Pelodiscus sinensis: one gene and its partners. The protein of the gene in region 2 purifies or fractionates together with the protein of the main gene of each other region. This does not show direct contact. Links are inferred from orthologs where the notes say so. Each region holds a gene or a part of one and is shown on either strand. Other genes may lie near its edges.

Evidence for each region.
Region 1: the proteins of SMAD7 (region 2) and RNF111 purify together in Homo sapiens (affinity purification with western blotting; 3 studies listed by BioGRID). This does not show direct contact. The link is inferred for Pelodiscus sinensis from reciprocal best matches to the Homo sapiens genes SMAD7 and RNF111.
Region 3: the proteins of SMAD7 (region 2) and ACVR1B purify together in Homo sapiens (affinity purification with western blotting; 3 studies listed by BioGRID and IntAct, with this or other methods). This does not show direct contact. The link is inferred for Pelodiscus sinensis from reciprocal best matches to the Homo sapiens genes SMAD7 and ACVR1B.

The regions. Positions count from the first base shown.
Region 1 is NC_134724.1:30,138,528-30,142,274, forward strand, and holds the start of RNF111 (E3 ubiquitin-protein ligase Arkadia), read left to right. Parts: upstream 1-1,016; 5' UTR 1,017-1,429; intron 1,430-3,642; exon of another isoform or gene 3,643-3,738; intron 3,739-3,747. UniProt on the Homo sapiens protein: E3 ubiquitin-protein ligase. Required for mesoderm patterning during embryonic development. Acts as an enhancer of the transcriptional responses of the SMAD2/SMAD3 effectors, which are activated downstream of BMP.
Region 2 is NC_134716.1:116,252,192-116,255,938, reverse strand, and holds the start of SMAD7 (mothers against decapentaplegic homolog 7), read right to left. Parts: upstream 2,726-3,747; 5' UTR 1,046-2,725; coding exon 550-1,045; intron 1-549. UniProt on the Homo sapiens protein: Antagonist of signaling by TGF-beta (transforming growth factor) type 1 receptor superfamily members; has been shown to inhibit TGF-beta (Transforming growth factor) and activin signaling by associating with their receptors thus preventing SMAD2 access.
Region 3 is NC_134729.1:5,485,973-5,489,719, reverse strand, and holds the start of ACVR1B (activin receptor type-1B), read left to right. Parts: upstream 1-1,358; 5' UTR 1,359-1,445; coding exon 1,446-1,551; intron 1,552-3,747. UniProt on the Homo sapiens protein: Transmembrane serine/threonine kinase activin type-1 receptor forming an activin receptor complex with activin receptor type-2 (ACVR2A or ACVR2B).

The DNA of each region.
Region 1 (3,747 bases), on a different chromosome or scaffold from region 2:
TGTGGGAGGTTGTATCTTAGGAACCCTTGGTTCAAATGACCACAAATTTGGATCGCTTGTCAAACCCTGGACTTCCATGAAACACCAAAATTAAAGACAATCTGAGACATTGCAGATTTCAGAGCACTTAGAACAGCTAGGTTTTAACCTGAAAGCTGGTCTTAATCTTAACCATAGTGGAACTGGTGTACCATTATAATAAAGAGCCCAGGTATTCTTCACTGGCATCAATCATCCAATGAGGGACAAGGACCCATCCCATATGTAGTTGAACTAAGCTCTACCAGAGCATAGAGAGATGAATCTCTTGACTTTTTAACTAGGTGATACTGAGTAAATGAGAAAAACTAAGTTGGCAAGATTCTCTGTACTTTTTATAATACATCTTTATTTATTTGTATTGTGAAATGAGAAAACTGTTCGGTACCAGTTAATGAAAAATGCTTTAGCATAGGTCTGAATCCAGCACCAGAAACTTCACTGATTGAGCCTTCATAATAAAGAAGAGAATGCTGCAGACTTCTTCTTGCAGGTGTATACATCACTGATCTCTGAGCTATTTTAAAGTAAGCACCTAGTCTTCTTGGTTGCAGAACAAGATGAAGCGATTCAGAAGGGTAGCCCAGTTAGTCTGTAACAGGAAAAACGTAAAAGAAACTAACAGTTTAGTAGCACTTTAAAGTTTTGTTAAAGTGATACCAAACTATTTGTTATTTTTTAAGATGAAGGGAGTGCAGCTGAGAGGCTAGGAAACCACAAATACCCTAATTTATTTAACAATAGCTAGTGATTTCTGACTGAGCCAATCGCATGATGTGTTTTGGCTCTGGCGAAACTGCTTGCCACTCTGCCCTTCTCACGGCCATCCTGAGCGCTCCCACCCTCCACAAGCCAGCCGTGGGCTCAGCACAGCGGCCCTCGCGGTGGCTGCCGCTGCCATTCCCGCCTCCGCCCAAAAGATGGCGCTCTTCAGCACATGCCATGCTACCCGAAGCCCCGCCCAGGCGGAGGAGCCGCACGGAAGGAGGGGTGCTTGGCGCAGCGGCTGCGCTTTGCAGGCTGCTGGAAAGCAGCACTAAGTGTCGTGCCGCGCCTGGGGAGGGAGGGCTTGGCAGCGGCGGTCCGCGCAGGGGGCTGCGCAGCAGACAAAACCTCAACCGCCTTAGGCTGCACTTTCGCCGGGCCCCGGGCGGCTTCGAGCGGGGATTCGGCCAGCGGCGCGAGGGCCGCGTTGCGGGCGGTGCGTGAGGGGCGGCGGGCCACGGGAGCGGGCGTAGCGGAGAAGAAAGCCGGGGCCTGCTGGGCCGGGCCAAGACGAGCTGAGCAGGGTCCTTCCGGTGGCTGACGGCGCCTCTTCCTTGTTCTCCCTTCCCCTTGCTGGGGGCTGTTACCCCGCCCAGCGCCCCCTCCCTCGGCCTTAATGTCCCAGGTACGTTGGGGTCCCCGGGTGGGGGTGGAGCGTAGATGGGGGAGAGGGGGAGGGAGGCGCTGGGGAAGGGAGAAGTCTGTATTGTCCGCCCCAAGGTGTCGGTTGTGCGAAGCTGCGGCTGGTGCTAACGGTGCGATGGGAGGCAGATAAAAGGGTCTCGGGTGAACGGGCCCGTGTGTTGTGTGGGGTGGGTCAGGCCTTTCCTGTGTGAGTGCTAGAGTGACGGTGGGGGAGAGGGATCAGCGTAGGCTCCGCTGACGGAGTTGCCTCAAACTGTGGGGGCAGTTCAGCTGATGGAGACGTACAGTTATTTTTAACCGTCTCATTGGCATGGACGCCAAAACCTTGTCTCCTCAGGGAGGTTAAAGGTGTTGTGTTCTTTTGTTGTTAATTAGCCCAAAATAATCTCCTGAATTTGCTTTTGGTGTGTGTCTATAATACATGCTTCAATTGAAGTAATAGGCCTTCATGACCAAAAATGCGGGCATTTTAAATTTCCATGAAAGAGTACTCACTATGTATATTTGGCATCCATTTCTCATGGCTGTCATTGATTTTCTTTTAGTGGGGTATTTTAGGAGAATGTGGTCTACTCCAGTGTTTTATAGAGGCCTTAAAAAATTTGTTTTTCCTGCTCTACTAATTTCTTTTTGTCATGGATGCTGCAAAAAAAAAAAAAAAAAGAAGTCTGGCTTGTCTTAGGAATCCGAGAAGTTCATGTTTAAAAAGATGCGTTTGGGGTTTTTGATTCTTTTTTTGTCTAGCAAGTTAAATTGCATAGCTGTTTAATGTAAAAGACAATCTTATAATTTGATCGTTTAAAGAAAGAAATTATTTGCTTTACTGTTCAAAATATGGCCTGTTGGTAGACTTTCTAGCAGACTCCGTTGTTTACAGTAGTGCCTGGGGGCTAGCTGAGAACAGGGCCCCACTGTAGTAGATAGTATGCAGCGTTGTAAACAGTCCCTGTCCTGACAAGTGTACAGTCTGAATAGAGGAAACAGGTAAAAGGGTGGGTGTGTGATGGGGCAGGAGGGTAAGAATAAGTTATAATATGCCAGCAGAATGATGACTTGCATTTGTCATGTTAATACTACAGTCTATTAAAAATGTTAGAGGATTAGCTAAACAGAGAGAGAGAGAGAGAGAGGTAAAAGAAGAAAAATGCATGGAAGTTGATGGGGGTGGCTGAGGCATAGGGATAGATTGAGGCACTCTGGCCTCTCTTCTGATTGAGACGATCCAGAGTCAAAACTCATCAGATGACTGCCCACACCTGTGGGTACAAGGTTATGCTACACTACCTTCTGAGGCTCCTTGTGGGTAGCTTAGAGTTCACCAGAGCTAGCCAGCACAGACAGCAATTTGCCTCTCTATATTAAGGTCTAACTATCATGTTGAACAAAAACGTAGCCTTTTTCCCTACTGTGGATAAGTCTTAAGAGCAGGGGAGGTCTTTTGATCAAGAATAACATACGTTAATAAATTTAGTCTCTGTGAATATGTATTCAGGGTTTCATGTACATAAGCGAAAACCTGTTCTGTTTTTTCAAAGAGGAATATTCTTTATACATCAGTTTACACATCTTCTGCTTTGGTAGTAACTTTCTATTTAGATAGCTCAGTTAATGGTTTTATTTTTCACAGAATGTTGAACCTAAAAGCTGAATTGTCAGATAAATGAGATAATGGCAATAATTTTAAGAGGGAGAAACTTAATTCAGATGTAAACAAGACTAATAGTACGGGGTGAACCAGCCATGATGCAGGTAGTTACTGCACAAATGCTTTTCAAACAGCTCTACCAATGTGTCTTAATCCCGATCTGCAGTGCACATACTATTCTTGTTCTAATCTAGACTTTTGTCCTAAATCTACAAACCTACATATTGAACCAGATTGATTTTGTGATATTTAGTTTGAATCTGCAAAGAATTTTTTTTTCACTTGGACTCTTTGAACTCAAGTTTATTCTCTCCCACTGGAGTTCTGAGCTATTTAAGAACTTGTCTAGATAGACATATTATAGCTACAGCAGTATAACTGTAGACTTTAATTTCCCCATGAGGACAAGCGACAAATTGGGTCTTGAAACATCTACCAGACACTTACTAGATGGACAGTTACTAATCCTATCAGCAAGAGATGAAAAATGAAGGGCTAATGGTACTTCATCCCTTCTTATTTCTGTCTTTCCTGATTGTTGACAACAGAAAAATGTCTGCTATTACCAGAGAGTCTCATAGCTATATTGTACTGGAAGAAATGGAAGAAGTCTCTGATGCACTTCCCCAACAACCATAAGCTAGGTATTCCTC
Region 2 (3,747 bases):
TAAACTCCAGGGATCCATTTCCCAAAGCAAAGCAGATCTAGATTATGCACGTCTGGCTCGTTCGCCGGGACCTCTCTGCAAATTATCAACCCTCTCTAAAGCAAAAATTCACTGCTGAATATCGTTTGAAAGGTTCAAGGCATCTGAAGGGTTACAGGGTTTCCTTTTTTGTACACAGCCTTCTCCATATAGACAACAGTGAACCACATCCTTGTTTTACTGCAGGTAGAAAAAAAAAAAGGAAACCCGCTGTGCAAGAAGCGCCTTGCAAGGGAAGAGGCCGGCTAAAAATTGCAACCCGAACTCCAAGCACCTTCCTAGGGTGACGTGCGAATTTTGCCAGAGTAAAAAAACCTGGAAGCCTCGGCTATTGTGTGACACAAACGCGGACAATAGACGCTGATTATCCAACCATCCTCAGAACCAGTGTTGGACTCCCACCCCTATGTCCCTATTTTCTGTGCATACGGCAGTTCCCGTGTTCCTACCCGCTCACCCACCCCAGCTCGGGAGTTTCCCACCCGTGCACATGCCTGCCCTCCGGCGTACCTAGTTCACAGAGCCTGGTGAGGTGGTGGGGATTGCAGCAAACCAGCTCCGGGTGAGTTTTTCCATAAGATTCACAGCAACATAACCTCTTCACTTCCGAGCAATGCCTGAGATCGGGCCACCTGAATACTTTACACAGCAGCAAAGGGAGCGAGTACCAATGCTGGCCCAGTTTGGAGTCCACCTTGCCGGGCAGGAGGAGGCAGGAGGTCCGCGTGCCCCCTTTGGATTCCACCGCTTGCAAGAGCACCTCCAGCTGTTTCTCCTTCAGCCTCTTCAGGACCGCGTGGGTCAGCGCTTTCAATTCCGCCTCCGAGCCGAGGTGAGCTTTGCTGATCTTCCCCGACTTGCCCATACAACAGCCCCGGCCGCCTCCAGCCCCATGCGCCCGGCTGTCCGCTCCTGGTTCCCCGGGCTCTCCTTCCTCCTCCTCCCCGCCGGGCGCACGGCTCCTCCAGAGTCGCCGGACGAGCACCGATCGTTTGGTCCTGAACATGCGGGACGAGAAGAAGGTTTCCCGGCTAAAAAACGAGCATGTCGTCCGCAAATCATGAAGAATCCGGGATCCGAGTCCAGGCAGCCAACACAAGCAGCCTGAAATGATAGGGATATAGTGGGGAGGAGGGTTGGTGGCGGTGGAGGTTGTGGAAGAGCCAAAGCAATCTGTAACATACGCCAGTCTCTTACAGGGCTGGAGTTGTTCCTGTCTCTCTTAAATCCTTCAAAAAGCCGCTGGAAATCCTACAGTTTCATACAGATCTATTCAGAATTTCTCACCAACTACTTCTAAATAGGAACTGGGAGAACAGAAACTAAAAGAGATGGGGTGGAGGGGAGAAATCAAATGTTCACTGTATCAGAAGAATTGCAGAAAACATGCTCCCCCGTCAAAGAGATAGGGGAAGAACAGATCTTCTTGTGTTGCAGGTCTGTCAAAGTGATTGCAAAATCTCTAGATCACATTTGGTTTCAGATGAGGATGACTGTTTTAGATAAAAAAAAATCAAGATGTTCCCCATCCCCCAAAAACTGTGTTGCAAAACGAAGGCACACGATTTAAAAAAAAAAACCCCTATTTCCTTAGTAATAACATATCCATAGATTCCATAAAAATAAGAGTTTTTTGGAAGGGGACTGGGAAAAAAGGATTTTCTACAAGAGGGGGTGGATTTTTAAAAAGAAAGAGCCAAAAGAACTCATAATTTAAAAAAAAAACTAAAATGTGGACGTCTGAATAATCACAAAAACTTACATTTTTTTTAAAAAAAATGCACCCAAGAATGTTACATCCTTTTTAAAAAAGCGCCCAAGTCTTCCTGATGCTTTTTCCCCTTCTTCTTAGCAAAGATTTTAATCCACACACCAAAAAAATCGTCGAGGCGGCTGCTAAGATATATATATATATATATATATATATATATATATATATATATATATATATATATATTTAAAAGTGGGAGTCTCTCTTCCCTTCCAAAAGGCTGGTTCCGCTCCCCTCTCCCTGGCTGCCTTTCAGAAAGACCAGGAGGTAGGGACAGTTTTTCTTAAAATACAGTTGCCCCCACCTCTCCTCCCACCCAACCCTTACAAAATAAAAGGACGGATGGGTGAGAAGTGGCAGGGATGATCCTATAATGAATGACAGGCGCTGAAATTATCACCTGCCCCCCCCCCCCCCCTTCAGTCTCTCTTCTGTCTCGCTCTTTCTCTCGCTAGTACATGCTAATGCAGCCGTTCGCTCTTCTTCCTTCCCTTCTGGCTGCAGCTCTCCTCCTCCAAGGCAGCCTTTCCAGTCCTTGCATCGGCTATCAACACACACGGGGGAAAAAAGCAGCTCCTTTTGCTTGGCTCGCTTGGGTTGCTTTGCCTTTTTTTTTCCTCCTTCCCCTCCTTTTTCCACTCCCTTCTTCCTTCACAGAGCGCTCATTGCAGAAGATTCTGTCTCTCCCCACACGCACACACCTTTTTCTTCTTCCTTCCCTTGGGCGACAGGGGGAGTTCCTTGTCTTTTGGAGGGGGTGGCCTGCGAAGAGGAGGGGGGCTCCCAAGTGAGGTGGCTATTACCTAGCAGTGTCCATAGCCTTGCAGCCGTCCGCCAGCTCGGCTCTCTAGCCAGCCAACAGCCTCCTCCTCCTCCTCTCCTTCCCCCCTCCTCGCCGCTTTGCCTCGGTGACTCGCAGTGCGCAGTATCGCTGCCCAGCCCCGGCCCCCAATCACGTGGGCGTCTAGACACCCTGTCGCTTTAAAAAAAAAAGTGATTGTGTTGCGCAAACAACAGATCGGGTTTCTAAAAGCTATTTTTTTATTTCTGAAGTCTGGAGAGCGAGGAGGGGAGCGGGTAGGGGAAGTGCATAGAATTCACATCACATTCAAGAAATACATTAATTTTCTTTAAAAAAAAACCAAACCACGATCAAGATACAGTGCACCAAGGAAATAATTGCTCATGGAGATGAACTCAAGAGGATATTTATCAGTGAGATGCTGCGGTGAGGGGTAGCTTGCTCGATATTTGTATCGACAGGGTTTGCTTTCACATTCAAAAAAAGAGTTTGCAGACTCAGTTTGGGCTTTTTTGTTTTGTTTTTCTGCATGCTGGATTATTACTGTAATTTGTGGCTCTCTTTGCATTGAAGTTACTGGCAGATTTGTTTTTAGTTGGGGTCAGGTGGAGCTGTGCATTGGGCCCTTATTAAAGAGACATATATACGAGGTGCTTGCACAAAGGATGCAAAAAGATGGTTTTTCAGATGGGTGAGAAAAGAGGGTGTAGAAAACACCCAGAAAAAGTAAAACAAAGATCCTGAAATAGGATTGTTTGATGCAGTTCCCTGTGTCTGTCCAAAGGCCCTGTATCTGACCACAGGAGGGGAGGCCTACAACTGTGGTTGTGTAAAATAAATAAATGCCATAATAAATTGCAATTTTTAAAAAATCTATAAACTAAATCAACAGTTAATTTGTAAAGCCAAAGAAAGACATTAGGTAAAATGTAATGAAAACACTTTGCACTTGTACAGCACTTGTCATCAGAGGATCTCAATGGTGGGTAAGTGTAATTAACCCTTTCTTACAAGTGAGGAAAATGAGCCATGGATATTAATAAAACATCATCACAACACTTTGCACTATATAGTGCAATGCTTCAAAGAACCTGACATTTTTAATAAATGAAGCCTTTCATATCCCCCATCAAGT
Region 3 (3,747 bases), on a different chromosome or scaffold from region 2:
TCCCCGTGATTTATATGATCTTTCTGCTTATGAGCTTGATCCTACAACATATGGGTTATCTCAGCACCCTCTGGGACTGGAGTTTTTTATTACTGTAGCTTTGGGATCTTTGTGTGTCTGCACACACATACACACATGCTTTAGGAACTCAGAAAATTAATCACTGGCTTGGCTTCCAGCAAGAATTTAGGACGGAATTTTTTTTTCTGGAATGCAACAATCAGTAAACCCAGCACACCAAGTCCCAAGGGACCAATAGATTGGCGGCATGTTCTCTATATAGGAGAAGGGAGGGAGAGAGAGGCCAGCAGTTTGCAATGAATGTGCTTTAATTGGAATGCCAGAGACTCCACTGGTGCCTTTCTGGGTAGCAATGAAATGGTCTGGGATGTCCAGCCAGCCAGCCTCAAGCTCACATTGCTCAGTCTGTCTGCATTTAGCATGTTCCGCTGCCAGGTTTGCTGGATGCTGGGGTCTGAAAATAGCCCTTCTAGCCAAGAGCAGGGGGATCCAGTATCACTGTGTCGGCAGAGCAGAATTGGAGGGTGGGAAAAATAGATTATTTCTGTGTCTGCAATGCTAGGCTTCATGTGTAACCACATTAGAGTCGCCTCTACCTGTAGTGCCTTGGGTGACATTGACTCCCTCCAAGGACATGAAGACTAATCCCATATGCATTGTAGAGATGACTGATGCATCCCCCTGTGTATTGCCCACACGTTACATGCAGCCTTTTCTTGGTTGCACGGCATGTCTGTGTGACACCTATTGCTCTTCTCTCTTTTTGTGAATACTACACTAGTTCTTTCCAGGTGTGCTTCTCAGTTAGGATGTAACATCCATGTGCATTGCACAAAAACCGCACACTACTCCATGAGCAGGGCACACAGAACGGTGTTGGCTTCTCCGGCACTGCACTGCACGCCCATTGACCATTCCCACCCGCACTGCACTATACACACTGGCCCTTATAAGGACACTAGCTCTCTACTGGGTACGCGGCATACACCTGGCACACACATTGCCCCAATTCGCACCACCATTGTACACCACTTGCATTTGCACACCCGCTGCACGTTCATTCCCTATCACTTGCATACCCGTGTGCTTGCACATGTGCACACCCGCTGGCCTCACTATCCATCCTCACCCCTCCAGCCCCAGCGGCCTTTGCACATACATTTGCACACGCACTGTGCACCGATGGCTCCCACACTCCTGTCCACACCCACCGACTAGCCCACGTGCAGCCGCACGCTCACTCCCTCCCGAGGACAGTGCCCCAGACGTGCTCTGTTTAGTGTCGGCGGACAGCTGCTCCCCCGCCCTCGCCTTTACGGGCGGGCCTCCCCTTTAAGGCCCGGCAGCCCCGGCGGCGCTGCTCGCTCGCGCTCGGTGTCTCGCGCTGGCCGGGCCCGGACGGGAGCGAGGCTGCGGTGGTTGCTATGGCGGAGTGGGCTCGCGCTGCCGGCCCCTTCTCGCGCTCGCCGCTGCTGGGGGCCGCGCTCGCGCTGGTCCTGCTGCTGCTGGGCGGCCCCGGGGGAGCCTGGGGTGAGTGCGGCGGCCCAGGAGCCCCCTCGTGGGGCGGCGGCCTCCCGCTGCGGGGGGGCTTGGTGCTTGTGAGGCCCCCCCTGCTCTGGGGGGGGCCAGGATGGGGGGGTTGAGGGGCCCCCCTGCCCTCTGGGGGGGCCAGGATGGGGGGGTTGAGGGGCCCCCCTTGCGCTCTGTGGGGGGCCAGGATGGGGGGGTTGAGGGGCCCCCCTGCTCTCTGGGGAGGGGCCAGGATGGGGGGGTTGAGGGGCCCCTTGCGCTCTGGGGGGGGCCAGGATGGGAGGGGTTGAGGGGCCCCCCTTGCGCTCTGGGGGGGCCAGGATGGGAGGGGTTGAGGGGCCCCCTTGCGCTCTGGGGGGGCCAGGATGGGGGGGTTGAGGGGCCCCCTTGCTCTTTGGGGAGCTTTGGAGAGATGGGAGGGGCTGAAGGGCCCCCTGATTGGGGGCCATGCTCCAGGAAAGTGCAGGGATTTGGCAGGTTGGGGGCCTACCTACAGGGCACCTGAGGGCTGCCTGTCTGGAATGCAGGGATGCGGGGGGCTCAGGAGCTTCCCCCCGTGCTGCAGGGAATGGGGTTACCTTCCTGTGCGGTGTCTGAGATATATTTGGGGATCTCTTTCCAGAGGGTAATTGAAGGAGCTGCAAGTGTCTCTTTTCTTTGAGGGGGTGCTGGGGTTTGGGGGAGGTATAAGTGAGGAGGGTCTCTGGGGGACAATGGGTAGGGGTGCCTGGGTCTGTTATTTCCTGGCAGGGAGGAATGGGGGGGATGTCTGGGAGGAAGGGATTGGGGCACCTTGGCTTAACTTCCATAGGTGGGATCTGAGGTTGGGAAAGAGGCTAGGTGCGTACAGGTTTAGCTGAGGGGGGCCTTATTCTCATGGATGTAGGGTTAAGATGGTGCAGGTCTAGGAGGAGACTCTAGAAGGAACTGCTGTCTGAGAAGCTGGCAGGAGGCTGTGGGGGCTAGGTATGTGAAATCCCATTTTATCAGTTAACCGATTAAACATTGTTTAGGTGGTTAACTTTAAATGAGGCAGGGAGGGTGGGTGGGGGGAGGCTGGCTGGAGTGGCCCCCTACTCCTGCTGCGGGGCTGGCTAGTCCACTGGTTAATTCTAATTGGTAAGCATCATGTTGTAAGGGTGATGTTTACCAATTAACCATTGGCATCCTAGAGGGGACTGAGCGTATTTTACAAAGGACATTTGGGGAGCCACATTGTCTAGGCAGGCAATAGGAAGTGTGTGTGTTCAACTGATCGACCTTCTGTATAGGTGTAGGTTCTGCTTTTTGTTGTGTGAGAGGCTTGGAATGCTTTTTTTGTGTTTTGGGAACAATAGAAGGCAACTGAAGACTTATAGGAGAGGGGAGAGGGCTGTCTCCATTCCGGGTATGGGAAAATATTTACCAGAGGGCTCTCAGATTACCCTCTTTTAAAGAATAGGGAAATTTGGGGAGCTTTTCAGGGGGTGGGCTTTCTTGTTCTCAGTGGACAGATATTTGTGTATAGGCAACCCCTTCTACCACACATTGTAGGCTAGTGTCTCAAAACTGTATATCGCTGATCTATGGCATTTCTACAACTTCCATTCCATTGGTAGCCTTCCAGGACTGGTGCATGACTAGCGTGAGGGGTTCTGATATCTGGCAATACCCATGTTCCTCTAGAGCAGTGGTTCTCAAAGTGTAGTGTGCGGACCACCTTCCAGGGGGTTCATAACTCAAGCTCAGCCCCTCTCAATGCTCATCGTTGCCATGCAGCCACGAGGCCGCACCACCAGCTCTCGCTTCCATTCGGAGGGTACGCAGGGGTAGGGGAGAGTGAAAAAAGCCCCAGCCTTTCCTGCCAGACCCAGCTCACTGAATCTGCCTCTCTCTGCGAGCCAGATCTAGTGGGGAAGTTGGGGCTTTCTTCAGCTCCCCATCCCCTGCATGCCCTCTGTGTGGGATGCCGGAGCTGGTGCTGCAGCCTCGCGGCTGCACAGACGCCTCACGGCTGCTCAGACTCCCCGCTTCGTGGGGGCCGGCGGGTGGCTGAGCTCTCTCCCCATCCCGCTGGGAGAACCTCAGCGTGGTGAGACGCTGTCCAGAGGCTTTCCCTCTTTGCAAGGGGGCACAAAGCCAGGTAAGCGTCCCCCTTCAAGCCAGATCCCTGGATCCTAATCCCCCTCACTCACTCCCCACTAAGACCCTGCGTCC